4 linked regions of the Mus musculus genome follow. The protein of the gene in region 3 interacts with the protein of the main gene of each other region in a biochemical or structural test. Links are inferred from orthologs where the notes say so. Each region holds a gene or a part of one and is shown on either strand. Other genes may lie near its edges. The genes, in order: Ranbp3, Adar, Xpo1 and Ranbp1.

The links.
Region 1: the proteins of Xpo1 (region 3) and Ranbp3 form a complex in vitro, tested with the Homo sapiens proteins (2 studies listed by BioGRID). The link is inferred for Mus musculus from reciprocal best matches to the Homo sapiens genes XPO1 and RANBP3.
Region 2: the proteins of Xpo1 (region 3) and Adar form a complex in vitro, tested with the Homo sapiens proteins (2 studies listed by BioGRID, with this or other methods). The link is inferred for Mus musculus from reciprocal best matches to the Homo sapiens genes XPO1 and ADAR.
Region 4: the proteins of Xpo1 (region 3) and Ranbp1 form a complex in vitro, tested with the Homo sapiens proteins (3 studies listed by BioGRID, with this or other methods). The link is inferred for Mus musculus from reciprocal best matches to the Homo sapiens genes XPO1 and RANBP1.

The regions. Positions count from the first base shown.
Region 1 is NC_000083.6:56,699,207-56,706,175, forward strand, and holds part of Ranbp3 (ran-binding protein 3), read left to right. Parts: exon of another isoform or gene 1-11; intron 12-1,816; coding exon 1,817-1,882; intron 1,883-2,242; coding exon 2,243-2,335; intron 2,336-3,556; coding exon 3,557-3,684; intron 3,685-6,250; coding exon 6,251-6,364; intron 6,365-6,969. UniProt on the Homo sapiens protein: Acts as a cofactor for XPO1/CRM1-mediated nuclear export, perhaps as export complex scaffolding protein. Bound to XPO1/CRM1, stabilizes the XPO1/CRM1-cargo interaction. In the absence of Ran-bound GTP prevents binding of XPO1/CRM1 to the nuclear pore complex.
Region 2 is NC_000069.6:89,727,972-89,735,573, forward strand, and holds the start of Adar (double-stranded RNA-specific adenosine deaminase), read left to right. Parts: upstream 1-2,746; 5' UTR 2,747-2,839; coding exon 2,840-2,867; intron 2,868-6,870; coding exon 6,871-7,602. UniProt on the Homo sapiens protein: Catalyzes the hydrolytic deamination of adenosine to inosine in double-stranded RNA (dsRNA) referred to as A-to-I RNA editing.
Region 3 is NC_000077.6:23,252,920-23,260,383, forward strand, and holds the start of Xpo1 (exportin-1), read left to right. Parts: upstream 1-3,121; 5' UTR 3,122-3,241; exon of another isoform or gene 3,242-3,724; 5' UTR 3,725-3,798; intron 3,799-7,464. UniProt on the Homo sapiens protein: Mediates the nuclear export of cellular proteins (cargos) bearing a leucine-rich nuclear export signal (NES) and of RNAs.
Region 4 is NC_000082.6:18,244,410-18,252,086, reverse strand, and holds the start of Ranbp1 (ran-specific GTPase-activating protein), read left to right. Parts: upstream 1-3,392; 5' UTR 3,393-3,524; coding exon 3,525-3,539; intron 3,540-4,661; coding exon 4,662-4,798; intron 4,799-6,728; coding exon 6,729-6,886; intron 6,887-7,677. Other genes in the region: Trmt2a (tRNA (uracil-5-)-methyltransferase homolog A), read right to left, coding at 427-538, 613-728, 817-931, 1,086-1,267, 1,525-1,633, 2,054-2,601, 2,836-2,856. UniProt on the Homo sapiens protein: Plays a role in RAN-dependent nucleocytoplasmic transport. Alleviates the TNPO1-dependent inhibition of RAN GTPase activity and mediates the dissociation of RAN from proteins involved in transport into the nucleus.

The sequences.
Region 1 (6,969 bases), on a different chromosome or scaffold from region 3:
CACTGGTGCAGGTGAGTGGCTACAGTCCCTGTGGTCAGCTGTGTTGTCCTCAAGTCTTTGGGGTTTGGAGACAGGGTTTCTCTGTGGAGCCCTGGCTGTCTTAGAACTTACTTTGCAGACCAGGCTGGCTTCAAACTCACAGAGATTTACCTGCCTCTGCCTCTCAAGTGCTGGGATTAAAGGCGTGTGCCACCACCACCTGGCTTACCCTCAAGTCTTAAAAGGTTGTGTGAACAGGACCCTAAAGACCTATAACCAAGGGGTGCCTAAAGCCAGCCTTTGGGTCCTCTAGTTATACAGTTTATGAACTTGATCTCAGGTTTGAAAAGTGTGGTCCAGCATTGCCCCCCCTGAAGGCCTCTATCCCACTCCATAGCTGGCTCCAGTGGCTGCTTTGTCACTTGTCTAGGCCTTGTGTGGCTAGTGGACTTAGCTCTTTATTCCCAGGGTTTGAGTGCTGCTCTGACTAGGTGTCCTCCAAGGTGTCCCCTGGGCTTTCAAGTGTGACCAGTTTCCTATCAGAGCCCATGTGACAAGATGCTGGAGTGGCATCAGTGTGTCCAGTATCAAGCTGTCACCTACAAATAAACTTCATCCCTGTGAGCAGTCCTTCTTCAGCCTCCTCCATCCTCAGCTATGGGTGTCATGAATCTGCCTCCTGCCTCCACTTGTGGATATTTCCTATCCATGGGCCCTGCACCATAGCAGCTTTTCTTCACTTAAGACTCTGCCTTTTGTATGTGTGGATGTGCATGTATTGTGGGGTGCTAGCGTGCTCACCTGTGCATGTGCATTTGGCGACCAGAGGTCATTGCCAATACTCATCACTCTGTCTGCCTTCCTGAGGCGGGGTCTCATTGATTTGGCTGGCCCTGCAGGCCAAAGAGCTCCAGGACATTCCTGTTTCTGCCCATAAATACCCAGCTCTAGGACTGAGCTGTGCTGTGTACTGGGGACGGGACTCAGGCACTTTTTTGTTTGTTTGTTTTTTCGAGACAGGGTTTCTGTGTGTAGCCCTGGCTGTCCTGGAACTCACTTTGTACTCCAGGCTGGCCTCGAACTCAGAAATCTGCCTGCCTCTGCCTCCTGAGCGCTGGGATTAAAGGTGTGTGCCACCATGCCCGACTTGGGACTCAGGCACTTATGCTTGCACAGTAGACATTGTGCCTACCGAGCCAGTCTCTCAGCTCTGTGTTTGGGGGTTGTCTGCTGTTGGCCTCTGTCCATGGGTTTTATTCTTTGCTTCCTTCAGGAGGGTTGTGCATATGGGGATGGGGTTAACATCTGTCTGCTTGATGGATGAGCCTCCGAGTCTGCCTGTGGCCTGTGCATTTTTTTCATACCTTCCTCCTGTCCTGGGTCACATTAGACTAGCTGTCCATCACCAGGACAAGGTCACCAGGATGCAGACTCACTGGGTTCCCAGCTGTCCCTGCAGCTCCAGCTCTATCTCCTAGCTCTTGTGAGTGGCTGGCAGAGCTGGCACTGAGTAACAGGCATGTCTGGGAGGCAGGTCCTGCCCTAGTCCTGTGGTCATGAGCGTACATGTCCTCTGTTGTAGGCCTACCCAGTAGTGCCATCACTCACCTTCCTGGGAGGAGTGGCCCAGAGTCTAGCAGATATGTCATTCTGTCTCAGCATCTTCATCCTCCAGGTTCCCTGTGCTGGCCTTGCCACAGAACCATATTCTAACATGGACCTCCTACTTTTCTGTTGTAGCCTGGACCATTCTCTGGGGTCCCAGGCCTACCATGCACCCTGTTTCGCTGTGCTCCTGCCTCCACAGGCTGAGCTCAGCTGTGTCTTATCCTTGCAGAAGAGAAGAGCAGCGGCTTCCGGCTGAAGCCCCCAACACTCATCCACGGTCAGGCACCCAGTGCAGGTGGGTGACATTTGCAGGCCTCTGCCTGGCTCCAGGACCCTTGCTGTAGGCCCAGTCTGCTCCTGGGACTGGGACTGACATGGAGGCAGCCCTGGGAAGTTGCTCTGACCTATGGGAGCAGGGTATCTCCTTCCTGGGAACTCATGTGACCCTGTACCAGCCCTGGCCATTTTCCTTTGCACCGTGCAAACTGTGGGAGGCACAGTGCAAAGGAAGACCTGGACCTTGTCACAGGTCTCAATGGCAGGTGTCTGTCACTATAAAGTGTTGGTGTTAAGTGTGGCCTCCCTTGCACAACCATAGAAGTTGATGTGCCCTGGAGCAGCAGGGTCAAGGTTCCTAGAATCCACTGTGTTCCAGGTCTGCCCAGCCAGAAACCCAGGGAACAGCAGCGTGGTGTGCTCCGTCCAGCTGTGCTGCAGGCCCCTCAGCCCAAGGTGCTGTCGCAGACGGGTAAGGGACTGAGACACAGTTTGAAGTACAGAGGCAAGAGGACCCTTTGGGTTAGTCCCATCCTGAGGGGAACCTCAATAGGGTACTGCCAAGGTTTTCTGTGTCCCCAGGTCTCTTGTCAACCTCCTAAGCTGCTCTGCAAGGGTTTCCAGCTTTGCTGGGTTTTGGTCTTGTTACTCAAAACTCAGAAGTAACCTAGCCACTTTGGACCTGGTTAATCTCCTGCTGATTAATCACCCAAAGTCTGCTTGGGTCCATTGCTCAGAGTCCACCGGATAGAGCCATAGTATAGACCCTTAAAAGATTCCTGTTTCATTTCATCTTGATTTGGGGGTAAGTAGGATGGACCTGGCATGTAGGGCAGTTGTCATTTTGTCCTGGTTTAGTTGGATTTTTGTGACTCAGTATCACCCTGTGCAGCCAGCCCAGGCTCCTTTTGAACTCACTTTGTATTCCTTCTCACAGGATAGTGGGCACACACCACTATTCCAGCTTCCTTCTGGCTTTGTGATTGTATGAGGTGCTGGGGTTGGATGCTGACCCCACACACACAGGCCGGGCTCTCCTTCAGTTGCATGGAGCAATCTGTGATAGATTTCCTTTTACTGCTCGTTTTCTGGGAGTCCTGCTTCTGAGCTCACTAGAAGCCAGTTCTTGTTCATGTCTTGTGTGTGTTCGTGTGTGTGTGCGCGTGCGTGTAGTCCTGAGGATGCATCCCTGGCCCTGAGCATCCTAAGCTATATGCTAATACAGTGTCTTTTAGAATAAAGGCAGCAGCTCTTCATGTCTGTGAGTTTTGAGCCTACTTTTGTTTTTAATTTAAGAATATATGACTTTTTCTTCCTCCCTTTCTTTCTCTTTGTTTCTTTGTTTCTCTCTCTCTCTTCCCTCCTTCCTTCCTTCCTTCCTTCCTTCCTTCCTTCCTTCCTTCCTTCCTCCCTTCCTCCCTCCCTCCCTCCCTCCCTCCCTCCCTCCCTCCCTCCTTCCTTCCTTCCTTCCTCTTTTCCTTTCTTAAATATAGCCCTAGGTGACCTAGAATTTGCTGTCTAGATCTGTCTTTCCTCTGACTCATAGTGATCCACCTGCCTCTGCCTCCAAATGTTGAGATTAAAAGCTCTCATCACTATACACAGCCCAGGATGAATGAACTTCAGAGTCTAGCAGCTTAGTTAGCTGCTGAAGGGCTGGGAGACACCTGTCCACTCTCTTTCCTTTTTGCAGTTCCCAGCAGTGGCACCAATGGAGTCAGTATGCCAGCAGACTGCACGGGGCCAGCAACGTCTGTATCACCAGAAAACCTCACGCAGAGGAGTCCCTCTGAGTCTGCCGAGGAGACACACACACTCGAGGTTGGTCGGTCATGGGGACAGCCAGGGTGGCTGGGCTGCAGTGCCAGGCTCTGGTGTGCTGTCTGTGTGGGTTCTTGGTCTCTAAAGGCCTATAGCAGTTCCCAGCACTCTTAGTTTGGGCAGCTTCTTAGGCTGCCTGCTCTTATACAAGGTTGTTCCCAGTCTAGTCCTCTTTCCAGGAAGGGCGTTTGCAGAGACACAAGATTTACTGGCTCATAGTTTTAGAAGTTGGAAACATGAGCAGCATGGCTATGGCTCTCCTGCCCCTAGCTGATTACAGCCCACTTCACTTGGGAGTGCTCGTGACATGAGCAGTCTTGGAAAGGATAGCAGAGCGTCAAGGACAGTGCCCCTGTAACTTACTCACTTCCACACGATCCTGTCAAAGGTCCTCCCCACACCACACCAGGGACTGAGAGCCTAGCCAGTGGACACCTGGCATTGGTTGATAGGCTGTCAGTCACTGTCAGGATGGTCCCACTCCCAGAGAGCTCCTGAACAACTTTTGTTACTATGTCTCCATGACAAGGTCCAGAGCTCCCCCACAGCGTCCCAGATGAACCCTCAGAATGACTGGTGCTGTGGCAGTCAGCCCTGAAAAGCTGGCGTAAGAGAGAAGAGGTGCCTGTGCAGACCCAGGATTAAGGCTAGGGGCAGTGCCAGCAGCAGCTAGATGAGGGCTGTGATGGTGACCCGCTTCCCAGGCTGGCCACTGTGTAGAGTCACAGGCATAATGATGTCTCTGATCTCACTGAGAAAATGTCTATCCCACCTCAGTGCCCTAAGTGGGGGTAGGAATAGCTCCCAGTTAGGTACGGATTCCAGCCAGGCTATGCTGGCATCTAGCTCCACCACGCAGGGTCTACTTGTGTCACCCTCTTGCAGTTTCCACACTCCCTCCACAGTGCAACTCCTTCAGCTTAGGACGTTCTGCTCCACCTTACTAGCAGGCTGGGTTCTTAGTATCCAGCTTTGATTTGACTCTGAATTCTCTCTCTGTGCCACCCCAGATTTGAGCCCAAAGTTGCACATTCCAGATGTAAGCCTCACTCCCAAGCTGTCTTGGAGTGGACAGGGTCACCAAACTCACTATTTCTGATCACGTAGAAAGAGCAGGCAAGGCCAGGCGTGGTGGTGCACACCTTTAATCCCAGCACTTGGGAGGCAGAGGCAGGTGGATTTCTGAGTTCAAGGCCAGCCTGGTCTACAAAGTGAGTTCCAGGACAGCCAGGGCTACACAGAGAAACCCTGTCTCAAAAAAAAAAAAAAAAAAAAAGGAAAGAGCAGGCAAGACCCCGACTTTATCAGCCATTCCTGATTCACAGTGCCAACACCACACAGCTGATCAGTGGTGCTGAGCTCAGTGAAGACAGAGTGGTATTGTGGCTAGGAGACGATCACCTGGGCCATGAGAGAGTCAGAATGGAGCCAGATTTGTAAGGTATCAAGCAACTAGAAACATTTAAATTCTTAACAGCCTAGCAGAGAACTCAGAACTGTCTCACCACCCTGCCGTACACTGCAAGTTGCTGTCATAGACCTGTTGGAGCTCTTCTACACCACCGTCCATGTGCAGCTAGAGTATTGGACTCAAGTTCTCTTTATCCAGGTCACATGAGTGATCAAGACCTTTTACTCAGAGGAGTCACACTTGTAAGAAGAAAGCATTTAGAAGGGCCAGTGAGGGCTCGGTGAATTAAAAATGCTTCCTTCCAAATCTGAGGACGTAGGTTGGATCCCTGGGATTCACATGGTGATTCCTTCAAACTGGTCCAGGGGATTGTTCTTGGTTTTCTATACATGCACACATAGGCATGTACACACATAAATGTAAGCTTGTGTAAAACAAAAAACATACTGAAGCTGTGAGGTGGAAGTGAGAATGGCCTGGGACGTTAGGCTCCCTGCTGTCATCTCTGCAGTGGGATCTCACATCTGTGACCCACGTCCCACCATTTCCTCTAGTGACTCATCTGATCTGCTACTTGGTGTCTGCCATTTACTGTTTATAGTTTACATCCTGAGTGTTTATCCCCTTGCCTGATGGATCCTTGGTACTGGTTCTAGGTCTGTTGGCACCAAGGTGTGGTGATGTGCCCTGTTGACTCTGACATGCAGAGTCTTCCTGCCTGAGCTGTAGGTCCCCACGAATGGGCCCTTGGAGGAGTCTTCTGAGTACTGGCTGTGATACTCACAGTCTACCTCATTTCCACCTGGGGCTTCTCTGCACCACAAGCGAGTTTGCCTCTCAGAGGGATGCCCTGGGGTCCTGAGCTCTCCACAGGCCCCCTTGCTATCCAGCTGGAAACATCCTTTCCCTCAGCTCTACTGAAGCAGGGGAGTGCTGGTGTTGGCCAGTTTAAACTTCAGGCCGAGCATCATCCCCTCTCTCAGATCCCGGAGCCCGCAGCACAGATCTGGGGTTTAGGCCTTTCTCTAATGGTGCCTACTCCAAGAGAGTTATCCTAGCTTCCAGGAAAGTGTGAGCTTGGCTGACTTCCAGGCTCCTGAGCACTCCATTGTCTTGTTGGTAAATATTGGTTTGTTTGTTTGTTTTTCCTTATAGGAGAAGGTGCCTCAGAAAACCCCACATGGCACCTCAGAGGAGGGGCACTGTGAAGAGGAGCAGGCGGCCCCACAGGCCTTTGTGTTTGGACAGAACTTGAGAGACAGAGTGAAGGTATTTGGCCTGGTGTGTGTTGGGCAGTTGAACAAAAGTGTAGCCTCTGTACATGTGACAGTCACATATTCCTAGACATTCACTGCCCAGGGCCCTCATCCCACTAAGAATCCCTCCACTTTTGGGGATAGTGTTTCATGTGGCTCAAGTCTAGGGATTTTACCTGAGAACATCTTTCTTTCTTTTTTTTTTTTTTTTGGTTTTTTTGAGACAGGGTTTCTCTGCATAGTCCTGGCTGTCCTGGAACTCACTCTGTAGACCAGGCTGGCCTCGAACTCAGAAATCCACCTGCCTCTGCCTCCCAAGTGCTGGGATTAAAGATGTGTGCCACCACTGCCCATTGAGAACATCTTTCCAATAGCTAAACTATAAAATAATGATTGCATGACAGATTTCACATGGGTTTTATTTTGAGATAAGATCTCATATAGTCCGGGCTAGCCTTGAACTCGCTGTATGGCTCTGCATGACCTTGGACTTCAGATCCTCTGTCCTCAGCCTTCTAAGCACTGGGATGAGAGTTGTCTATTAGCAGACTTGACTTGTGTGGTGCTGGACTTGGAGCCCAAAGCTCAAGCATGCTGGGTGAGCCTCAAGCACACAAA
Region 2 (7,602 bases), on a different chromosome or scaffold from region 3:
TGGCAAATTGGCTGTTAGTGAAATCCACCTGTTTTCCAAGAAATGCTGCAGCACTCAGGGCCCAGTCTGTTGTTGCTGACCCCATACAACACTTACTCCACAAGCTAAAGATGGGGCCATTGTCTTGCAGGAGCTAGGACTGAGCAGAGCTCAGGCTGGGACTGGGGGAGAAGAGGAAGGAAAAACAGTGGATGAGAATCCCTTACCTTGAGTCCTAACTCAGAGGGGCCCAGATGTGGGCCAATAGCTGAGTCTCTACTGGCCAGAGCCACCCCAGCAGCTGACCAAGTACTACTCACAGGACTGAGCTTGCATAGGACAAACAGCTTGAGTACCAGACAGGATTTAATACATAGAGCCATAGGGTTTAGAGAGTTATTTTGTGGGCTGCCCATGAAGCTAAATGTGCGTGATGTGCACTCGGAATGGTCTATACAGGACTGTTAGCTGTTGTTCTGACAGTTGTTTTGGCATTGTCGTTAATATTATAACTTTATTATGTAACCACTAACCTTACTGGCATACACGTCTTTTCCTTTCATTTACTGGAGAACTCTGACTCAGTAATAAAAGGATGTCCCTTCTTCTGGAGACCTCTTTTTTGGGGGGAAGGGGGACAGCTACCCAAAACAGTTCTTGCTTTCTAGTAATTTCAAAATTAGAAGCCCTTGGAAGGGAGAGACAGAATTATAAGGGCTCAGAGTCAGTCAGCCTTAGCTGTATATTGGAGGAGTTTTAGGTGACCCTGAACTGTATGAGACCCTGTCTCAAAAACAAAACAAAACCAAAAGCTGGTTGTGGCTATCAACATCTGTAGAACATCTCTCAGGGTCGGTATAGCTAGGTGATACATCATTCTTTTGTCTCCTGAAAGCCTCCCAGATTATTTGAGCAAGTTAGACTGCTGGGGAAGGCCCTGTGAGTTTAGAAAATGAATGTTTCGGGGCTGGAGAGATGGCTCAGTGGTTAAGAGCACTGACTGCTCTTTCAGAGATCTTGAGTTCAATTCCCACCAACTACATGGTGGCTCACAACATCTGTAATGGAATCTGGTGCCCTCTTCTGGGGTGTCTGAAGATAGCTACAGTGTATTCCTATACATAAAATAAATAAATCTTCCTGGCCTGCAAGCGCCAAGGGGGAGGTTGTGATACCTTATTTTAGACACAACTGAGTTAGTTATTTGGGTGGTGACTAAGGAGTAGCCCTCTGAATTGGAACCTGGCAGGAGGCTCCCAAGCTCCTAGGGAAGTAAGCTGCTTGTGACAGGACTGTCACCTGTTTGTTCCCAAGGCCCTCCAGTTGAGGGGAAAACCTGGAAAAGGTAAACAGCCCCAGGTTGCAGTGGAGGTGCCACCTAGTGAGGCTGGGAGAGTTAGGACAGTTATCAAGGGAGCGAGACAAAGTTTAGGAATGAGACTGTCTGCGGGTCCTCAGTGGATCATTAGCCCCCAGAACATTCCTTCCATTTAGAATGCCTTGGACTTGAACCTGTCTTGTGCAATACATGATTGACCTTGGTTTTGCTTGGTTTGGGACAGGAGGTCTTCTTTCAGTATTGTTACATTGTTTCCCATCTGCTGCATTTGGCTGTGGTTTTTACTTCAATTGCTGTGTAATATCCTAAGGTGGGAACATCTGCTTATTTTAGTTTGATTGCTTTCAGTGTTGTGTAGCTTATCCTGCTAAATGCATATAATGGTTAAACCATGGGGTGTGTTTCTAAGTAATGACTTCCTGCAGTGACTGGGGTTGCTCCTTCTTGGTCCTCCTATGTGCTAGTTAATGGTGCCACACTGGTGAGTGGACAAGAACACCTACTCACTGTGACCTTTCCTGAGTTTCCCTGATGGCACAAGATTGAGCTCTTTTCCTGTGTTGATTGCCATTTTTTATCCCCCCCCCCCCAAGTTTCTGTTCCGCAAATTGTTTTACTTAGAGTGCACTATTATCCACTCACCTATGACTGTCTGGGACTCACTGTGCAGGGGATATAGGCGAGAACAGCCCTGCCCACTGGAGTGCCCCCGGGAGCACTGAAGGCAGGCAGCTATACCAAACAGGGAGGACATGATTGGGAGTGACTTTTGAGCCATCCATCTTGCCCAGACTGCTACATGCTGGGGCTTCTACTTACACTGTGTGTGCTGCTGGGTGCTGACGTTGTAGCATACACTAGATGCCCAGACTGCCATATGCTGGCCTACTTGCACCATGTGCTGGGTGCTGACACTGGTACAAACGCATCAGGTACCCAGGGATATGGAAGTGGAATTCCTCTGAAGTCTCAAAAACAAAACAAGGAAAGGGGGAGGAACATTCTAGGCTAAAGAACAGAATACGTGAAGGTAAAGAATTTTATCTACAAAAAGATAGGAAGTTTGGAGCAGCCAACAGGGGGAATGAAGGACAGGCTAGTGGGGACAGGGCATTGGCCAATGGTCACTCTAGGAGTGGACAGACTTGTAAATCTCGCAAGCAGTAGGGATTAAACACGGAAAAGGAACTTCCTCACAGGGCGGAGAGGGCGCTGTTGAGTGAAGCTTTCCAAAATACCGTGAACAAAAATAAGCTTGTCAGTGAAGTAAATAGCTCCCAAGCTCTCAGAGAACGTATATAGTGCCCTGCTAGTGGAGGTGGAGTGGTGAGGAAGGCGGTGGGCGTGGACTACGGCGGCCCAGCCCTTATGGTGGGCAGGATGCTGCTGCTCGGCTACCGGGAGCAAACCCCTCCCTCCTCTTGGCCCAACAGTTGGGCGGGGAAGCCTTTTCAAGGAAACGAAAGTGAACTCTGGGGAGCCAGCCATCTTACGGCCACAGGTGCGGGCCTTGCCGGCACTATGTCTCAAGGGTTCAGGGGACCCACAGGTAAGCCCGCGGGGTCTGCACCCTCATATCTGGCTCGCGTAGTGTGAATTACGAGGGTCACGTTCTCCTTCTCAAGCCGAACTGCCAGCCCTTCTGGGGATTTCTGTTCAGTTAGTTCTTGTAGCTTTGAGCAGTCTCAGGAAGGAGGCTGGTCAGAAGATAGACCAGCGTCTAAGCCAGACAAGGACCCAGGCCGGGGCAGACACCCCTTCTCTTTCTGCTAAGACCCCTGATGCCTTGCTGAGCCGCTATAGCCCAACATGAGCAACTTTTCTCATGATCCTCTTTGCTTTTTCAACTTCCTGAGAAATTTAAATTATCTCAACTAACCAGCAGGGGGAAGTCTTTTGCTTTATGGCCAAGAAGGGTGTCTTTCTGTAGCGCACTGGGTAAGCTTCGTGGAATTCTACTTAGCACTAAAATGAACTTGTGATGTCGTACATGAGCCCCAGCTGCAACGTTCTGAACAGAAAAACCCAGATTCCGAGGATTCATGCTGTGCACAGCACTGGATCTGTCATTCTGGAAAGCAGCGGGGATGGAAACTGACCCTGTGGTGGGATTAGGACTGTTCCTTGCCTTGGTTTGACCATGCTGGTTTGTTTGCTTTTGAGGCAGTTTCTACTTGTCTTGTGTTGCCTTGATTGCCCTTGAGCAAGCCACCAGTCTTTTCTCCCTAGAGCTGGAATTGCAGGCATGTCCCACCCAGGTTTATCCTTCAAAATTTTAAAAAGCTATATGGGATGTACCAATAGCCTCACACTTGATAAGCAAATGCTCTACTACTGTGTGTGTGTGTGTGTGTGTGTGTGTGTGTTGTAATTTGGGGGGTATGATGGTACTCATGAGGCAGAGGCAGGTATTTCTGAGTCCCAGGCCAGCCAAAGCTGTGTAGATGGCCTCAAAAACACAAACCAAAAAAACCCTACTCCAACAACCAACTTTTAATGTTGCAGATGTACAGGCACACTTGTACTTCTTTCTACGACAAAGGACAGCCTCGGAACTGGGCCCTCAGGCTTCCAGGAATTTTTCTTCTTGGTCCCCTATACCCTCAAGTGTCTCACAATTACTGATTTTTATACCACACTGTGTTTTGTTTTGTTTTTCTTGGGTTCTGGAGATTCAGATTCAGGTCCTTAAGATTGTGTGGCAAACGCTTTACTCACTGAGTCATCTCCCCAGCTCTTAATGGTGTGTGTGTGTGTGTGTGTGTGTGTGTGTGTGTGTCTACCTTCCCTCAAAATATTGCAGGCATCTGACTTGAAGGAAAGCACTTTTTACATATACTACAGTATGCACCTATGGATCATAGATGGTAAAGACAAAGGACTTATCTGTTGGTCCTAGAGATGGAAGGCAGGATTAGAATGGTGTTTGAAGAGCCATGTTTGATATTATATGTTAGGATGGTAAGATTGCCAGTCACGACAGAAGGCTGTGGCCCAGCTCCTGTAGCCTTCAGGCGAGTCAGGAAGGCTGTGAGCCACGTCAGAGATAGCACTACATGTTCTGTTTCCTTCTCTGGTCCTACCTCCCCGAAATAACTGAGTAAATTCCTTAGTTTCATTTCTTCTGTGCCTATTCTAGTGTTTGTGCATATATGAACTCACTCTCTCTCTCTCTCTCTCTCTCTCTCTCTCTCTCCCTTCTCTTCCCCCCCCCCCCAAACCAGGTTTTTTCTTTTCAACAGAAGAAAGCTTAACTTACATGTACTCTACCATTTACACTTTTCACATATACAAATTTTTTGTAGTAAAAATGCAAATGTATCCAACACAGATGTTCAGAAATTGTGACTAATGTTCCACAGTGTGAGGCTGTTATAACTTATTCAACTACTTTGTAGCTACGCACATATATTTCCCAGATTTTGTCTGAAAATAGCCATTTAAATCAAGAATGTAGTTAGGGCTGGAGAGATGGCTCAGCAGATAAGAACAGTGGCTACTATTGTGTCACATTGTCCAGTTCTGGGGGGAGGTAGGGTCTCTGCCTTCTGTGGACACCAGACACACATGTGGTGGACAGACATAAATGCAGGCAAAGCACCTATACACATAAAAATAAAATAAGTGTAAGAAAAGTAATTTATCTAGAAACTGACTTTAACCTTGAAATGAAAATGTCTTCTTTCTAAGTTCACTCAAAAAACTAATTGGATCTCCTACAGCCCCCATTGTTGAGCTATGTGATTGGGCTACTCATGTCAAGCACCATGACACCTCTGTCCCAAGCCCTGTGGGATGGGCGCAGAAAGAAGACCAGGGATGGTCTTGTCTGTATGGGCTTTGGTTCTGAATATGCTGCCCATCGTTATCTAGCCACTACTAGAAAATGCTCTCCACCTACCAGAAAAGAGTTTCAGGGTTTGATGGATACAAACATGTTATATAATAGTGATATAGGTAGGGTCACTAGACAAAGACATCATGTAGCTGAAAGGTGAAGATTGTGGTCACATGGGAATTGAGGAGCCCAGGGTTAGGTACCACAAAAGTGATTAGGACAGTAAGATTCCCAGTCATGACTGATGGGAAACAGAAGGCGGTGGCCCAGCTCTTGTAGCCTTCAGGAGAGTCAGGAAGGCTGTGAGGCACGTCAGAGACAGCACCTCATGTACTGCCCTCCACCCCATGACCTCTGTCACCACTGCTCCCCATCAGGCTGTTCATGGCAAGGTGTCCTTAGAGGCTGCCTCTGGCAGTTCCTGGGGAAGGTAAGAGGACCACTGGTAGTGGTGATGAGACCCTGCCTGTCTCCATATCCAGGTGAGCCTGGGTGCCAACTGAAGAGGGAGGACCACATGACATTTTTAGATGGCAACTCTCTAGAGTCCCTGTACCCAAATTTTGGTCCGTCAGGGTTGTGACTGACAGGTAACTCACTGAGGCCCTCTTACCACATGGAGATGGCTCCTGCTGTTACACTCCTCCCTCAGCTGGGAGGAGGTGAACTTCCGTCTCATCCAGCCTTAAGTTCTGCTTGTCAAGATTATCCACATGACAGAGTTTTAGACTAAAGGGGCTGTACTATGTAGTGGAGAGCCTGACTCACTCAGAGGGCTGATCTCACACACCCCACGTCCTGTCTTTTTCCTCACTTTCAGTATTGTGTTTGTTTCTTGAATATCATTTGCTTATTTTTCTAGATTTACACTTGTTTGTTTATGGGGTGTAATGGTGCATATACCATCCTGCACATGCCGTGATCAGCAGAAGGTCATTCTCTTCCATCACATGTATGTCCAAAGCACCAAGTCAGTGACAAGTGCCCTTGCCCACTTTTTAGCTGTGTTTTCCAGTTTTAGGAGGGTAGTTAGAGGGGTAAGTGGAAAGGTATTCTGTTGGGAGCCAACTCTCAGCAGAAATCAGCTATCATCTCTGCAGCCATCTCGGGCTATTTACTTACAGGTGGTACTTGTCCACCCTGACGAGAGACTTGTTTTCCTAGCATGATGTTTTTGCAAGAAGCCCACCACAGTTGAACACACTCAGATAACATCTTGTTTTTCTCCTATACATCCTGGACCTGTGGTTAAGTGTCTCCAGCTAGTACATATATACCCATAGCTGCCTTCCAATAAACGAGACTTGAGACTTTGATACTTGATCCTTGATCAGATAACCTGTCTTGTCTCCATTCTTCGAGTCTCTTGCCCCTCAGTCCCCACTTTCTCTCTTGCAGACCCTGTTGACTGACCCACGGACCAGATCAGTGTTCTCCCCCCCACACCAACCTCCTAATATCCCGTTGCAAGAGTTAAGTTGGAGGTCTCATTGAGGCATCTGAAATTGTGTCTTGCAACCTCCTCCCTCTCTCTGTTCTCTCATGAGCTTCCAAGCAGTAGCCAGTAGTGAACTAAAGTCACCTTAGTTCGGCCACAGCTCAGCTACCCCACCTGCTAGGAAGCAGGGATAGCTTCCCTAAGCACAAACTCTAGGGAACATAGGCTCATATGTAGCTCTGACTCAAGCTCTGTCTTCCATGTTGCCTTCTACAGGGGTGTTCCCTCACCAGACACAGTCGTACTTGGACCCTAGTCATGAGCATAGCAAGTGGAGATACCCGCAGCCACAGGGGCCGGAGTCTTACCCTAGGAGTTTCCAGCTTCAGCAGATAGAGTTTCTCAAAGGGCGGCTCCCAGAAGCACCCTTGATTGGAATACAAACCCAGTCACTGCCGCCATTCCTCCCAGGACACTGGCCAAGATTCCCAGGGCCACCTGCCCAAGACAGGCAACTGGAAATCTGGGAGTTCCCCAGGAGTGTGACTCTCAGAAATCAGGGGTTCCACATAGGACCCCCACTTCCTCCCCCACACAGCAGGGGTACACCATGGAGAGGTGCTGACGGGCTTTGCTCACACTTCCGGGAGCTGAGCATCAGTCAGAGTCCGGAGCAGAAGGTTCTAAACCGCCTGGAAGAGCTTGGGGAGGGGAAGGCCACCACTGCCCATGTGCTAGCCAGAGAGCTCAGAATCCCCAAAAGGGACATCAATCGTATTTTGTACTCCCTGGAAAAGAAGGGAAAGCTGCACAGAGGAAGGGGGAAACCTCCTTTGTGGAGCCTTGTGCCCTTGAGTCAGGCTTGGACTCAGCCCCCTGGAGTTGTGAATCCAGATAGTTGTATCCAGGAATTCCCTAGAGGAGAGCCTGGTTTGGACAGTGAGGACGGAGACCCTGCCTCTGACTTAGAAGGACCTTCTGAGCCTCTTGACATGGCTGAAATCAAGG
Region 3 (7,464 bases):
AGGAGTTTTCATTCACAGTTGGGATCACAGATGCACACCACCAGTGCCTGGCTGGAAATGTTCTTTTGATTTATTTTAAAGGAAACGTTCTTTGATTTGTTTTGAGACAGAGTCTCAGGGTTGTTCAAATACTGTCTCACTGGGGTAGGACTATCCTGTATCTAGAAATACTGAAGAGATGAAGAGTGGTTGCTTCCACCTGCGATCAGCTCTCAAGAGAGAGGGAAGACAGTGGACCAGCTAGGTATGTGCAGCAAATTCTAGGCCAGCAAGAGTTATGGTTGCATGTACCTTAAATCCCAGCATTCAGGAGGCAAAGGCAGGCACATCTCTGTAAGTACAAGGCCAGCCTGGTCTACACAGCCAGTTCTATGACATACAGATCTACATAGAGAGACCTTGTCTCAAAAACAACAGAAAGCTCTGGGCAAGTGTCTTAGTTTGGATTTTATTGCTGTGAAGAGACACCACGACCATGGCAACTCTTATAAAAGCAAGCATTTAATTGGGGATGGCTTATAGTTTCAAAAGTTTAGTCCAGTATCAGCATGACAAGAAGCATGGCAGAGTGCTTGCTGGCATACATGGTTCGGGAGGAGCTGAGAGATCTGCAAGCATCAGAAAGACTGTGTGCCACACTGGGCATAGCTTGAGCTTAGGAGACCTCAAAGCCTGCTTCCACAGTGACACAGTTCCTCCAACAAGGGCATACCCATTTCAACAAGGCCATTCCTTCTAATTGTTCCTATGGGACAAGCATTCTATGAATATGTTGGAGCCATACCTATTCAAACCACCACAGCAAGCCATAGCTAAAGGCATGAACCACCACACTTGGAAAAATACGATTTGTTTGTTTGTTTTTAAGACAGGGTCTGTTTGGCTTGGAACTCTCTATGTAGACCAGGCTGGCCTTTGACTCACAGAGATCTGCCTGCCTCTGCCTCCCCAGTCTTTCTACTAAGGGTGTGTCCCACTGTGCCAAGCCACAAAGGCTATTTTTCAGAAAGGCATCCATATACCTGTAATTCCAGTCAGCACTAGAGACAAACAGAGGAAAATTTGAATTTAAGGTCAGCCTGCAATTTATTTAGTCACAGGATACAGTGGCACTAGGGAGGCGGAGGCAGGATGGTCTCTGCCAGTTCTAAGCCAACAAGGGCTATACACCAAGTCACTGTCTCAAAAAAAGAAAAAGGAACCGATGGATTAACTCAACAAGGTGCTCTCATTTCCTCACTGGAGCTGTGCCAAGCAGCCCCTGACCCAAACAAACAAACAAAATAAATTCCTCACGAGATTATAAAGAATTAAATAGAACATTGCACATAAGGTCTTCCATACCCATTGAATTCAGGTATTCGACTTAGTTTATTTACATTTCCATATCTCTATCCTTGGGGGTAGGATTGTTTTTAACTGTTGAAGGTAATGAAAATGTATAAGCAGTGTCAGATCTGTGTTCCGAATATTTGTTTTTGTGTATAGGGATAGCATCTTCTGCCTCCAGCTGACACTGAATTTATTCTGTAGCTGAGGATGGCCTTGCATTCCTATTCTTCCTGTCACTTCTTCCCAAGTGCTGGGAGTTCAGGCCTGTGCAATATGCCAGGTCAACTGTGTTGACTTAATAAATGTTGTGGCACAACAGACCAGTCGATTTTGGTGGACTGCTGGCTGTTTTTCCCCCAGATAGGGTTCTCTTTGTAGTTCTGGCTGTCCTGGAGCTTGCTCTGTAGTCCAGGCTTGTTTGAATTCAAGAGATCTGCCTGCCTCTGCCTCTGTCACCACCACCCAACTGCTGGTTGTTTTAAGCAACCCTAATCAGCAAAACTGACCTGGCACTTGGGAGCCATGGGTTAACCTAGGGGCGTGGCATAATAAGGGCACGCACCAAGTTAAAAGAAGTTGGCACAAAATCTGTCTATACGCATTGTTAAGTTAGCAACAGGATTTTCAATGTGTTAGGACTAATTTTTAGAAATAACTTCTTGTTGAAGCAGTCTGGGGAGAGTTAATTTTTTGTTGTTGTTTTTTTTCGAGACAGGGTTTCTCTGTGTAGCCCTGGCTGTCCTCGAGCTCACTCTGTAGACCAGGCTGGCCTCGAACTCAGAAATCCCTGTCTCTGCCTTCCAAGTGCTGGGATTAAGGGCATGCGCCACCTCTGCCCGGTAGAGAGTTAAATTTTTAAGGAGGCTCGTCCAATAACTAACTAGACAACCGTTTCCAGGCGCCCAAACTGCACGCCCGTTTATGCCAACCTCGGCCCGTGCTATTCACGTTCCCATGCGGTGCCCAAACCCAGGCCTCTACAACGGATCCAAGGCCCAGGGCCTACCATCCGGCACCTATGTGTTCTTTTCGGTCCTTCGCGGCCGTCTATTTCCATGTAGAAACAGGGTGTGCCCTCCCTTTTCCGAGCACAGACCCCATCCTAAGGGCGGATGCTGGGGCCCCAGGACGAGGCCCCTGAGGTTGGCGGGAGCTCGAGGGGGCGGGCCGCCAGGGAACGGGGAGGGGGGGAAAGCAGAAAGACGAGCAACGCGCGCGGCGCTCAAACCCGCGCTGCCTTCTGCTCACGGGCGAACCCCACCCTCTCCGTCACCAAAGGCGCCCAGCCAATGGGCGAGCCGGAAAGGCCGGGCTTACAAGCGAGGGACCGAGAGGGGGAGCCACTCGAGGGGAAAGGGATGTAGAAGGCGGGCTGCACTTGACTGACAGCTCACTCAAGCCAATCCTCTGTGAGGCTTCTCCGCTCTCCTCTTTGCTGGGCTCTGTTCGACGTCCCACCTTCTCTTCCTCCACCCCCCCCTCACTCCTTTGCGTCCCGCCCCGCCTCCCCTCCCCCACTCTGCGGGCAAATCACTGCTGGAAAGAGGCGGGGGCCTAAGCGGCAGGCTCGTGTGGAGCCTTGAGGTGGGATTGACGGGCGCTCCGACCAATAAGAGGTAGGCTGATGGCGCGGCTGTGGCCGGGGCCGACCAATGGGCGCGCGGCCTGGGGGCGGAGGCCCAGGTTCCAAACGCTCCGCGGCGCCATGGGCTGAAAACTCAACCGAGATGGAATCTCCCAGTCTGAACCGGTTTCAACCGGTTCCGAGTTTGAGGCACTAGGAGGAGGGGGAGAAGCGGCTGCAGCGGCCGCGGCAGGAGCAGCGGGAGCTTCAGCATCAGCAAGAGCAACAGTAGCTACAGCCCCGGCGGCCGTGCCTGTTCCAGCCTTTGCTGCAGCAGTCGTGCAACCATCCCGAGGGGGAGGGGGGAGGCACCAGTCGCTGAGGAGCACGCGAAGGGGGGAAAGTTTAGGCTAGCTCGGGTGGGGGGGCCCGGCGCCGGAGCGGCGTGAGCGAGGGAGCCCTGTGTGGTAGGGGGAGCCGGACTGCAACTGGCGGCAGAGCGGCCCCGGCCGTACGGACTCGCGCTGCTGCTCCCGCCGCCGCCTGTGGCTGGAGGGTCCTGGGCTCTGTCTCACGGACTGGCCCGCTCCCCTCCCCCTTCCTTCCCTCCCCAGCCGGGCGGGAGCATTTATTTCTCGGATTAATTCCCCTTTTTGGTGGGGCGCGTGTGTGTGCGTGCGCGCGTGTGTGTGCGTGAGTGTGTGTTGGGTGGAGTTGTCCCTAGAATAGTAAATACTGAGCTTTTTTTTTTTTTTTTGCCCTTCTCTGCTTTTTAATTTCTTTTTTGTTTAAGGTGGGAAAACTGTGAAACCCACCTTGATTTCCTCCCCTCTCCCTCCTCCCCACCTTCCCTCGCCCCAAGCCCGGACAAGGAAGGAAGAAGCAGTTGGTTGAATTTCTGGGTAAGTCGGTCGTGTGCTCGGGGCCGAGGGTCGGGCGGCGGCGGCGCGGCGGGCATGAGGCGAGGCGGGCGGCGGGCGCGGGGCCCTCGGCGGAGCCTGAGATTGAATGGAAGCGCTTCTGTCGCTCGGTGATGGAGGTGGGGAGGCGGCCGCGGGAGGGGAGCGCTTGCTGGGTCATCTTCGTGTGCGGGTGGCGGTGGAGGAAGGCGAGGAGCGTGGTAGTGAGGCTGAGCCCCTGCGCGTGGGTGGAAGGGCTTCCCCAGTCCAAAGGGCTGGGGAGAGTCGGGGGTGATTTCGGGAACGTCTCTGTAAATTATTAGGAGTGGAAGTTTCCAGAAATATTTAGTGCAGCAGCATTGAAACGTCCGCCTGCATCACGTGGCCCCCTCGGTGGAGAGCTTGGGATGGGGGAGGGAGGGGCTACCGAGTCCCTTCTTATGTGAAGAAACTCGAAAGCCTTGTGGGTGATTTTTGTTGTTGTTGGTTTTGTGAGTGTGTGTATAACAAGAAGTAGGAAAGAGGAGTTAATTTCTTTTTTTCGGGGGCCTGCAGTTGGGGTTCCGTGTTGTAGGTTGTTTTCGCCCGGGGCATATATGTCTTGGTGAAACCGTGTACTGCTGGCCGTGGACAGTGAATGATGCCCTCCCTGCTCCTCCTTCTGGTTTCTTGAGTTTGCGGTGTAGGAGAGGAAGTGGTGGTAGAGGATGCACTGAATACTCGCCGAGGCGGGACCTCGGATCACTCAGAGGACATGCTGCATAGAGAATAGGGCGGTGAACTTAGGCGCCGGGTCTAAATGCCTCCTCCGAGTATGGGCGGGGTGAGTGCGTGCTCCTGTGAGCTATAGTTAGAAGTGCTGAGAGTCGTTCGGGTGGGAAGCCAGGGGAGGGCGGTCCCTTCCTAGTGAGGCGTGTGTTTCTTACTGAATGAAGCAGGCGATTGCCCACACACGGAGTAGCAGTCTTTTGTAGCATCTTGTTTTTTGACTCATTGTGAACTTACCTTTTTAGATGGCTACTGGTGGGTAGTGTTTTGCTGCTTGCAGTGCCATTGAAGGTATATGGACAATCACTTGTAGAGTCACAGCATTGTTTGATGGGTTCCTACAGTTCACAATCCAGTGAGTGGAATTTGGGATTGGGGGACACCAACGAGACAGGTGAACCAATCAGAAAGTGAACAATCCCTCCATAGCTGCACTACTTACTGCATGATTCTGTATCTTGAATGTGGGTGTCACGGCTGACGGTGGAATGACTATTTGGAAGCTGTTTGGTTGGGGCTGCTAAATGTGCTTGGCATTGACCACAGAGCCGCCATTTCTGGATTACCTATAGTTGAAGTTGGAAGATAACCGCTAGTTCCGAGAAAGGCCAACAACTGTATTTAAGTATTCTTAGATTGCACCCCTTCCCCCACATGAGTCTAGTATCTGAATTCTTAGAGAAGACCAACTTGAAAATGAAACTTAGGACTTAAGTGTAGGGTCATTTGACTAAACATTTAATCATTACTTTTTTTTTTAAAGAACTATAAATTGAGATAGTGTCTGAGACAAGTTGGTTGCAATTTTTAACCATAAACTCGAAAAATCTGTTTTAATCTGTAAAAGTTATGACACTTGAAGTTATTGGAAAGAATAGTTATTTGTTAGTGGGATTTATTTTTCTTGTATATTAGTGTTCTGTTTTTCCCTTCTTAAGACAGACAGAGTCTCACTGTGTATTCCAGTCTGTGCTTCCATCTCTTCTGGGATTGCATATGTCTTATCTCTTAACACTGGCCTTGGTGTTAATTGTCCTTTCACCTCCCAGGTGCTTTCTTTAATTTTTAATATATAATTTATTTTTACTTTTAGTTTATGTTTTGTTGGTGTTTTGCCTGCATGTATGTCTTTGTGGAGGTGTCAGAAAACCAGAAACCAGAGTTACAGATCAATGTGGGTGCTGGGAATTGAACCAGGGTCCTTTGGAAGCACAGCCACTGAGCTATCTCTCCAGCCCAGTTTGTTTGTTTCTTTTCTTTTTCTTTTTCTTTTTCTTTTTCTTTTTCTTTTTCTTTTTCTTTTCTTTTCTTTTCTTTTCTTTCTTCTTTTTCCGAGACAGGGTTTCTCTGTATAGCCCTGGCTGGCCTGGAACTCAAATCTGTAGACTCAGAAATGCACCTGCCTCTGCCTTCCAAGTGCTGGAATTAAAGGCCTGGGCCACCACTGCCGGGCTCCAGCCCAGTTTCTTTATCTTTACATGAGTGTAAATGTGAGCATATCTACCTATGAAAGAATTTTTGGACTCGTGAGGAGTTTGAGTGGGGAGCACAGATAGGTCTTACTCTGTTGCCTTTGTCTTTTAACAGTAGTATGCCGGGCGGTGGTGGTGCATGCCTTTAACCTGAGTTCCAGAACAGCCAGGTCTATACAGAGAAACCCTGTCTTGAAAAACCAAAAAACAACAAAAACCCCCCAGCCTTGGCCTGATTGTTAGTTACTTCAGATAGGGCTTCATAGCTCAGGCTGGTCTTAAACTCTGTATGTAGATGAGGCTTGGTCTTGGTTTTCTGATTTGAGTGTCAAGAGCGCTGGGGTTCCAGATGCACACTTCTGGTTTGAAACCAAGGAGTTCATGCATAGTAGAGCACTTCACTGACTGAGCCAAACCTAATCTTTGATTTATTATAACTAAGTTTTATCTTGGGCATGATTAATAAAACCTTTGTATTGAAGTATCAGCAGCACTACTACAGAAATACAGCGGAGAAACTACTTGTCCTAGCTGTGTTTTGAGCCAGGTTTCACTGAAAGGCTGAGGTGTTTTTTATTCAGGATCTCTGCAGTCCAAGGTATCCTGGAATTCACACTTCTGCCTTCACCTCCTAGGTGGTGGGATATAGGACTAGACCACCAAGGCCCACTTTGTACAGGTTTCAAACTGTTATTTTAAGAAAAGGATGGTACAGAATGGCTCAGCAGTTAAGAATTCCTGCTGCTCTTGGTGAGGACCTAGTCTCCATTCTGGGTGGCTCATAATCTCTGCGACTCCAGCTCAGTGGGATTCCACCTTGCTCAGGCCTATACAGGCACCTGCACTCTGGCACACAGAGCCACACACAAACCCAGTAAAGTGTAAATTCTTTTTTTTTTTTTTTAAAGATTTATTTATTATTATATGTAAATACACTGTAGCTGTCTTCAGACACACCAGAAGAGGGAGTCAGATCTTGTTAGGGATGGTTGTGAGCCACCATGTGGTTGCTGGGATTTGAACTCTGGACCTTCAGAAGAGCAGTCGGGTGCTCTTACCCACTGAGCCATCTCACCAGCCCCGTGTAAATTCTTAAAAACACAACTTTTTTCATACCAACCTAATTATTCAGAAACTGCGTGATCAAGCACGCTATTCATTTTCCAAATTCTGGAGGTTTTGTAAACTGCTGTAAAAGGTATTATGGATATGCTTAAAGTATCCTCTTTAAATGGTATGCAAAATTGTTTAAATTTGAACTACAAACCAAATGTAGTGGCTCACACTACACCTGTAGTTGCAATGCCTGGAAGGTTGAGGCAGAGTATTCATATGCAGCTCTATAGTTAGGAGAGGATCCAGCCTGTAATCTCCAAGCTGTATATTGAGTCTGAGACAGAAGGGTGGCAAGTTCAAGGGTTGCCTGGCT
Region 4 (7,677 bases), on a different chromosome or scaffold from region 3:
AGAGTCCCACATTGCTCTGCTCCCATTCTTTCTATATACCAGTGATCTCACCCAGTCTCTTAAAAACCAAGTCCTTACAACAGACTCCCATCAATGGGGAGTTTTGCTCCCTGACTTCACAACTTCTCCCAGGGCAACTCAGAGTGATTGCATGCCTCATGCTAGAGACCTTGGACTCTCTCCACCCTCTATCTCCATAGGGTTTTTTCAACAGTGAAAGTGATTGATCCTGTTCTGGGTTCCACAGAGTGCAATAAGGCTGTGCATTTCACTGGCTAACTGCAAAGAGGCCAATCACTAGCAAATATCCCTTGTTATCATATACCTTATTCTGGGGCCCCCAGTACCTGAGTGTGTTCTATAAATCTTTGATGCTAGTTACTGGCTTCCCTCCCTCTGTGTTTATGCTCACAAGGGGTATGCTACCTGGAAGAATGCATGAGGGGAGATGCGGAAGGTCAGCCCTAGCAGGTCTTCCTGAATGCACTGGTCGCCAGCCATATGCTCCAGGGGCAGGCCTTCCTGGCTGGGAGTCTTTCTATACAAGAGAAAACAAATCTGTCAGGGTCACTGGTCTGTCTGGCCCCTCCTGCCTCCACCTGGGCTCCTCACCTCTGTCCCTCCTCCACAAAGTAGAGGGAGGTCACCCCACTGGCCTTGCCTGGCCCCTCCATGAAGTGGCACACCAGGGAGGCCTTTAGTCCTGCCACCTCCTCAGAGCTCAGTTTCTGTAGTAGATGATATAAAACTCCCATCAGGCTATGCAAAAGCCAACCTATACCAGACACATCCCCCAACAGGACCACCACCTGAGACCTGGGGATGGAAGTAGGCAATGGCCATGGCCTGGCCTCGGCTGCTGGTACGAACAGTCAGTTGCTTCCAGTGGCCTGTATATGTCTCAGGGTCATATGCCGAGTATGGTGTGGAACTGAAGAAACCACAAATATACTCAGTGTGTGCCCATCTGTCCTGGTACCTTGTCCCCTTACCCCACATCCACAACTGCCAGTGCAGGGGCCACCCCCCTTGTCCCAGATGGATCAGGGACTTCCCAGAAGCCCAGCCCCAGGCAAGGTCCCCACCGGATGAATTCCTGGAAGGCCTTCACCACCTGCTTAGTGGCCTCTGGAATGTGCACAGTGTCAAAGGGAGCTGCCACAGCACATGTTCCACCCTTGTACTTGCCAAGCCGGCAGCCAACTGTGTTGTCCTTGCCGTCTACCCCAACTCCGACCAGGAATTCACATTTATTACGATATTCAGTCTGTAGGAGTGTAGTAAAGAGTCAGATCTCAACCTTGATTACCCAGCACTGGAAGAAGAAATACCATAGTGAACAAAAGACCCAGATTTGCCCAAGGGGTAACAGAACAAGATTTTACTGCTGGCTTATCAAACATTGGGAAGAAATGAAAAGCAAGAAAAATATCAAAGAGCATATGCATAATAAAATTGACATGAACAAGGGCCAGCCTCCCAAGCCCCCCCATCCCCATACACACAGAATGGGATTTCTCTGACCTGCTGGGGTGATGGCTTGACCCCCTCCAGGGGGCAACAAGCTTTATTGTGCTGTTGTCTCTGTAAAAGCAGCCAGGGTAGCAGGGCACGATTAGTGTTCCCAATTTCTCTGCAGGATGAAATACATCATGGTTGGATTTAACACTGTTCCCCATCCATACTGGGCAATTCATTTGCGACCTCACTATCCCTCTGTTGTGGGCCTTATGAGTTCTTTCGTTGACCACTTCAGACTGGTGGTTCTCAACCTTCCTAATGGTGCCTGTGATCCTGTAATCATGTTGTGATCCCCGACCATAACATTTTTTAATTTTGTAGTTGTAATCTGCTAATGTTGTGAATCATGATGTAAATGTGTTTTCTGATGGTCTTAGGCAACCCCTCTGAAAGTCTGGTGACCCACTGGTTCCCACCAATGGTACAGAACCATTGACATAAACTCTGTGTGTATCTTGAATTGCTTACATGGCTAATGGACCAGGCCAAGAGCAAAACCCAGCTCTGCTTGGGATGTCAGCACCACACTCACTTGGCCAGTTTCTGTAGCACCCGCTCACATTCCAGTCGCTTCTGCTCCAGCTGCTCAGTGTAGGGCACTGTCCACAGAGGGGTCACCACATCGGCAATTTGTGTTACTGATGGCTCACTATCACCTTCTTGCCGCCTCTTCCTAGCCATGGGGTCAGCCTTGGGTCGGGCCAGGCGTACGCTGAGCGGACAGCCTTTCCAGAGAGCACCGTGCAGCACTCGCAAGGCCTTGTCTCGTTCAGCAGCGCTTCGGAATGTTACAAAGGCACATGGTGGCTGTCCAAAGAGTTTGATTTTGTGGGACTGTAGACCAAAACGGCCTAGAAAACGCCGGACGTCACTGAAGCTGGCGTGGCGAGGTACATTTTGGAGCTCCAGTTTAAAGATTTCTGATGTGAACAAGTCATCCCTTATGTAGCTGTAGAGCCCAGGCTGCGTTCCAGGCCCTGCAGCTGGCCCAGGCCCTGCTTCCTCTTTTTGACATAGTGGGGCCGCAGAGCTGGGTACAGCACTGGCATCCTGGCCGCAGTCCTCCATGGGCTCCGGAACCTACGTGGGAACAGACGGGCCTGGCTGAAGGCTCTAATTGGTATGACTCGCTCCCCCAAACCGCTGACAGATCTCCATTAGTGCACACTCCACGAAGCCCTGGAGAAACCCGTTCTTTTACTCTCGAGACCCAATTCTCCCCCATCCTATCTTTGATCCGACAGTAATGACTGCTGCCCCAACCCACCTCCGCCCACCCCGTCCACATCTCCTGCACGTCTCCCTTTGCTTTACTTCCGCGGCCGGCTCACTCATCTCCTGGCTCGTCTGTTGCCCGGACCAGGGTGCTCACGAGGACCACCGGCTCGGCCTCCCACCCAACAAGGGCGCAGATACGAGGTACGCCGCCGTGAAGGTAGACCGCAGCTCCACACAGGGACTCAAAACTCGGGTGCTCAGAGCTGGGACTGAGGTTTGCGGATGCACTGTCCCCAAGGGCCACACGCTGCGCCTGCCTTCGGCTGGCCAGCGCACACTAGCTGCGTCTCCTCTCTCTAAGGGCTTGGTTCCGATGACGTCACCGCCGCGCGCCGAGTCCCGACTGATCCTTCCAGCAGCCGCTCACGCCAGCGTCGGAGGCACTCAGCCTGCAGGCGGAAGTGCGCGCGTGGGTCGCCGGGAGAGCGCGCTCCCCGGGCTGAGGCGCGGCCGGGCATGCGCCGCGGGCGTTTTGGCGGGAAGCGCGGGGCGGGCCGGACAATGAATGTCCGCTGTCGGAGCCAATAAAGCTACACTGGTTTTGAATCACTGCGCGTTTCCCGCCGCTGGGGTCAGGGGTCAGGGTTCGGGTCGGGGGGCGGAGGGAAGAGCGGACGGGCGGGAGCGCCGGCGCCAGACGCGGAGGAAAGGAGCTGCGACTAGCCGCCCAGAGGCCGCCGAGCCAGCGACGCCTGAGCTAGTCGAGCCACCGTCGCCGCGCCCCCATGGCGGCCGCCAAGGTACAGCGAGGCCCGGGTGGGGCAGGGCAGCCGGAGAGGCAAGGGCCGCTATGGGCGGCCACGTGGGCGGCCCGCGCCTCGGCCTCCAACCCTCGCTGGCTTGCGGGTTCGGGGCCTGTCGAGGCGCCTGGGCCTGGGGTGCTCGAGGTCTTTGGGGGTCCGCGAGTGGGAGCTGCTGGCCAAGACTCCGATCTCGGGGTCTACAGGGCGGCGCGTGACCTTGTGGTCTGCGGATGAACAGCCATGCCCAAACTGGGCTCCCGGCTTCACCTGGGGACCTGGAGGTGGCCGATCTCCTCCGTCGTGGCCCACTTGTGATCTTCCCATTAGGGGCGGCAATCCTCCTTCCAGTTGCACGCAGACCCCTTCATTCATTAGGACATTGCGCCTTCGGTGGGGAAAGCTCGCGTCCCAGCGCAGGGTACAGATATTAGACGCGCGGACTCTGGGCGGGGGCGGCTTTGTTGGTGGCTCGTGTGTCGGCCGCAGCTTAGCCGCAGTGCTGAGAAACCGAACGAAAGGTTTCTGTTTCTTTATCCTGTTGAGTTAGGTAGTGAGTCTGGGATTTCTCTATATTATCAAAGCACGTGATCTTGTCAGATTTAAACATGCATGTCCTTGTAATTCTCCAAGTTGAGTCAGAATCTTAGAGCTTATTTGTCATACTTTTCCTAGCTTCTTTCGGCTTAAAATTTCAAGCTTGGGTATTATTGCTGGAGGGATTGTAAACTAACAAGTGCTTGGATAACCCTCAGTAAAAACTGTTACGGCTGCTCTTCCTTTTGAGTATATCATGTTCTTTTTCATGGTGGGTATTTTTTTTTTTAACAGAAGAGGAAGTTTCTCCCAAGCTACTTTGCCAAGGACTTGGGTGTGTGTAACCCATTGATGTTTGAGTGTGTAGGAGTGTCAAAATACACAGTCTTGTTTCATGATATCCTGTGATTTTTTTTTTTTTTTTTGTGATGCTGGTTGTAAATACAATCAGATGATGTGAAAGATAAAACCAAAGGCTTAATTTCCAATTTGGGGAGGCATTTTCCAGATGCCATTTGTGATTGATGATGCCCATTGTGGACCGAGTCCACCAGCCAGCAACATCACTCTACCTTCTCTACACAGGACAGTCACGAGGACCATGATACTTCCACAGAGAATGCAGATGAGTCCAACCACGACCCCCAGTTCGAGCCAATAGTTTCTCTTCCCGAGCAAGAAATTAAAACGCTGGAGGAAGATGAAGAGGAACTTTTTAAGATGTAAGTCTGTTAAGGGGTCCTGGAAGTATCTTTAGATAGGCTGACTGAGACAGAGAGAAAAAAGAGTGGACAGGAAGCAGGTCTCTGCAGGCTATTTCTTTCACATTTTGCAGTACCCAGCAACCATAGTTGGACCACTTATGTTTACCTCTTCAATTTCTAGAGGAGCCAGCCAAGCTAGGAATTCTGTCCCTTGTATTGTTTCTCTTTCAGGTATAAGCCTTAGTGATATGTTCTGGCATAGCCTCTTTGTGATTTCTATCTGGAACTGCACAGAAGAATTCTAGGGTGGCTGGGCACACTGATTTCTGTGAATTTCATGGCTTGGACCCAGCTTGATAAAGGCTGTTTTAAGAAAGTGCTTGGAGATGTATGGTGACTAGTCTTACAATGAAAATTCAACCATTTCTCAGCCAAAAATGTTGCCAGGTTATCCTGCTGCCTTGTGGCCAGTCATGTGAAGGTTGTTCCCATCACTGTTCTGTGTCATCTGGGTGTCTCCAGCAGGCTGTGGGGGCTCACACTTTTAGTCTCAGCACTTGGGAGGCAGAAGCAGGTAGATTTCTGTGGATTGTAGATCAATCTGGTCTATATAACCAAGTTCCAGGACTACATGGTGAGACTTTTTTTGCTGGGTGGGGGCTCCCTTTCTTTGTTGAGCAGAGTCTTTGCTTTTCTTTGTTTTTGCTTTGCTGTCTGTTGCCTTAACTGTATCCTCAAAGATTGAGGTTTGTTTAGCCCTTGTTAATTGTTATGTGTGTATGGGCATTTTACCTACATTGATGTCTATCTACACAATGTACTAAAGGAAGCCAGAAGAAGGTAGTGAATCCCTTGGGACTAAAGTAACAAGTTGTGAGTATCCATTTGGACCTCTGGAAGAACAGCCAGTGCTCTTAACTGCAGAGCCAATTCTTCAGCTTCCAGCTCATGGTTTTTCAGGTTAGAAAGTATGAGATCTGAGAGTGTAGTGCTAGCAGTGGTATGGACCTCATTCTCATGTAAAATCAAGAGAATTTGCTAATGTCAAATTTTCAGTTATGCCTAAGATGTTTGTTAGAGGTTCTCTGCTCTGAAGGGAGGGAGGGAAGGAGGCTGCCCATGGAGAGCCATAAGTACACCCTTGTACTACCTAGAAGATGGTGGTCCAGAGCTCTGATCCACAACAGTGGGTGAGGGTAGCATCTCCCTGAGTTACGTGGTACTTGATTTTGTCCACTTGATGCTGAAAGTACCCCAGTGTCCTCGGTATTGTGCTAGAGACAGCATATTGTGCCTTTATATAAGGGCCTTTGAGCTTTCTCTTAAGGAGTTAAGTGAAGATGCAATCTCCCTGGACAAGACTGAATTTGGAGGAGAGCAGAGGCTTTGTAACAGCAAATGCGGGCTACAGAGGAGAAGGGTGCTGGCTTGGCAGGAGAGCCAGGTGTACTGGACTCATTGCAGGTACTGTGTACCTGAAACCTGGAGGCTATAGGTTCCTTCTGACAGGAAGCTGTTGCTGGGCCTCTGGAAGATAATATTCCTAAGGCTTTATGTAGTTACAGGGCATTCATTTAGTGTGAGTAGGTTGTCCAGACAGACCTGTGGCTTCTTTACCTACTGAGGGTCATGTGTATCCTTAGATGTGTCTCTGGGGGAAAATCCTTTGCTATGAATATCTTTCTGCAACCTGGTATTTGTTGGCCTATTGTGCTCCCCTGGGTTTTATTTTGCCTAGTAATTCTTGGTGCCCAAAGCCCATTGAAGAAGGTTTTTGGGGAAGACACAGTGTTCAACAGTTCCCTTATGTTCAGTGTCCAAAGAACACTTTGTGGCAATTGGTCCAGGTGTGAGTTCCCTCTCTGTTAGATGAAGAACACTTTGTGGCAATTAGTCCAGGTGTGAGTTCCCTCTCTGTTAGATGTTTCCATACTGGCTTCTCTTACAGGCGTGCAAAGCTGTTCCGGTTTGCTTCAGAGAATGACCTCCCAGAATGGAAGGAGCGAGGCACTGGAGATGTCAAGCTTCTGAAGCACAAGGAGAAAGGGACCATCCGCCTTCTTATGAGGAGGGACAAAACCTTGAAGATATGCGCCAACCACTATAGTAGGTGGCCTTTCAGTCTTTAGACCCTGCAAGTTTTAGGAGTTGGTTACTGGGGGGGGGGGGCATATATTTATGACACTTATTGTCTTTTTGTAACAAGTCTCTGAACTATGACAGTGAATTTAGGCTGTGGGCAAGATAGGTCCAGGGTAGATATAGACCTCCAGGCTAGACTTATGTTATCTGGGCAAGTTGGAGCTATCCCGTGCCAAAGCTGCCTTCTTTTTACTTTCTGTTATGTTCTCCTTCTAAGCTGTTTTCTGGGATGATATAGGAAGGAATCAGGCTGACAAGAAGGTAAATGAGGAGGGCTCTTGGCCAGGTGTGGTCTTATGTACCTAGAAAGAGGTCTCAAAGAGCCACCCCTCCCTATTTGTTTAGATCCATCTTGAGCTGTGTAAAAGTACATGGATTTACACCCTCCTTTAAAGGCCTTGAAATAATGCACTATAGCTGGGCAGTGTTGACATCTGTTCTAACAACTCAGTCACATGCCCTGTTACCTGCCATCAAGTCTCACCCTGGCTACTCCTGCTCCATTGTGTTCTTTTGGCAATTCCTCATCCACTGTCTCCACCCAGGACACCCTTACTGAGATCAGAAGTCCCACTTTAACTCTCTTCCTCAGCTATAGGCTGATCAACTCTTTATAACCAATCAGAAGTAAGGGAGAATAATTTTTATACATCATTGAGATGGGAGATGCTTCAGTAATCATGACAATACTAACACCAGACTGTAATCAGATCTCTGGGCACAGTGCACAAAACCATCCTCTACTCTTGATCCTG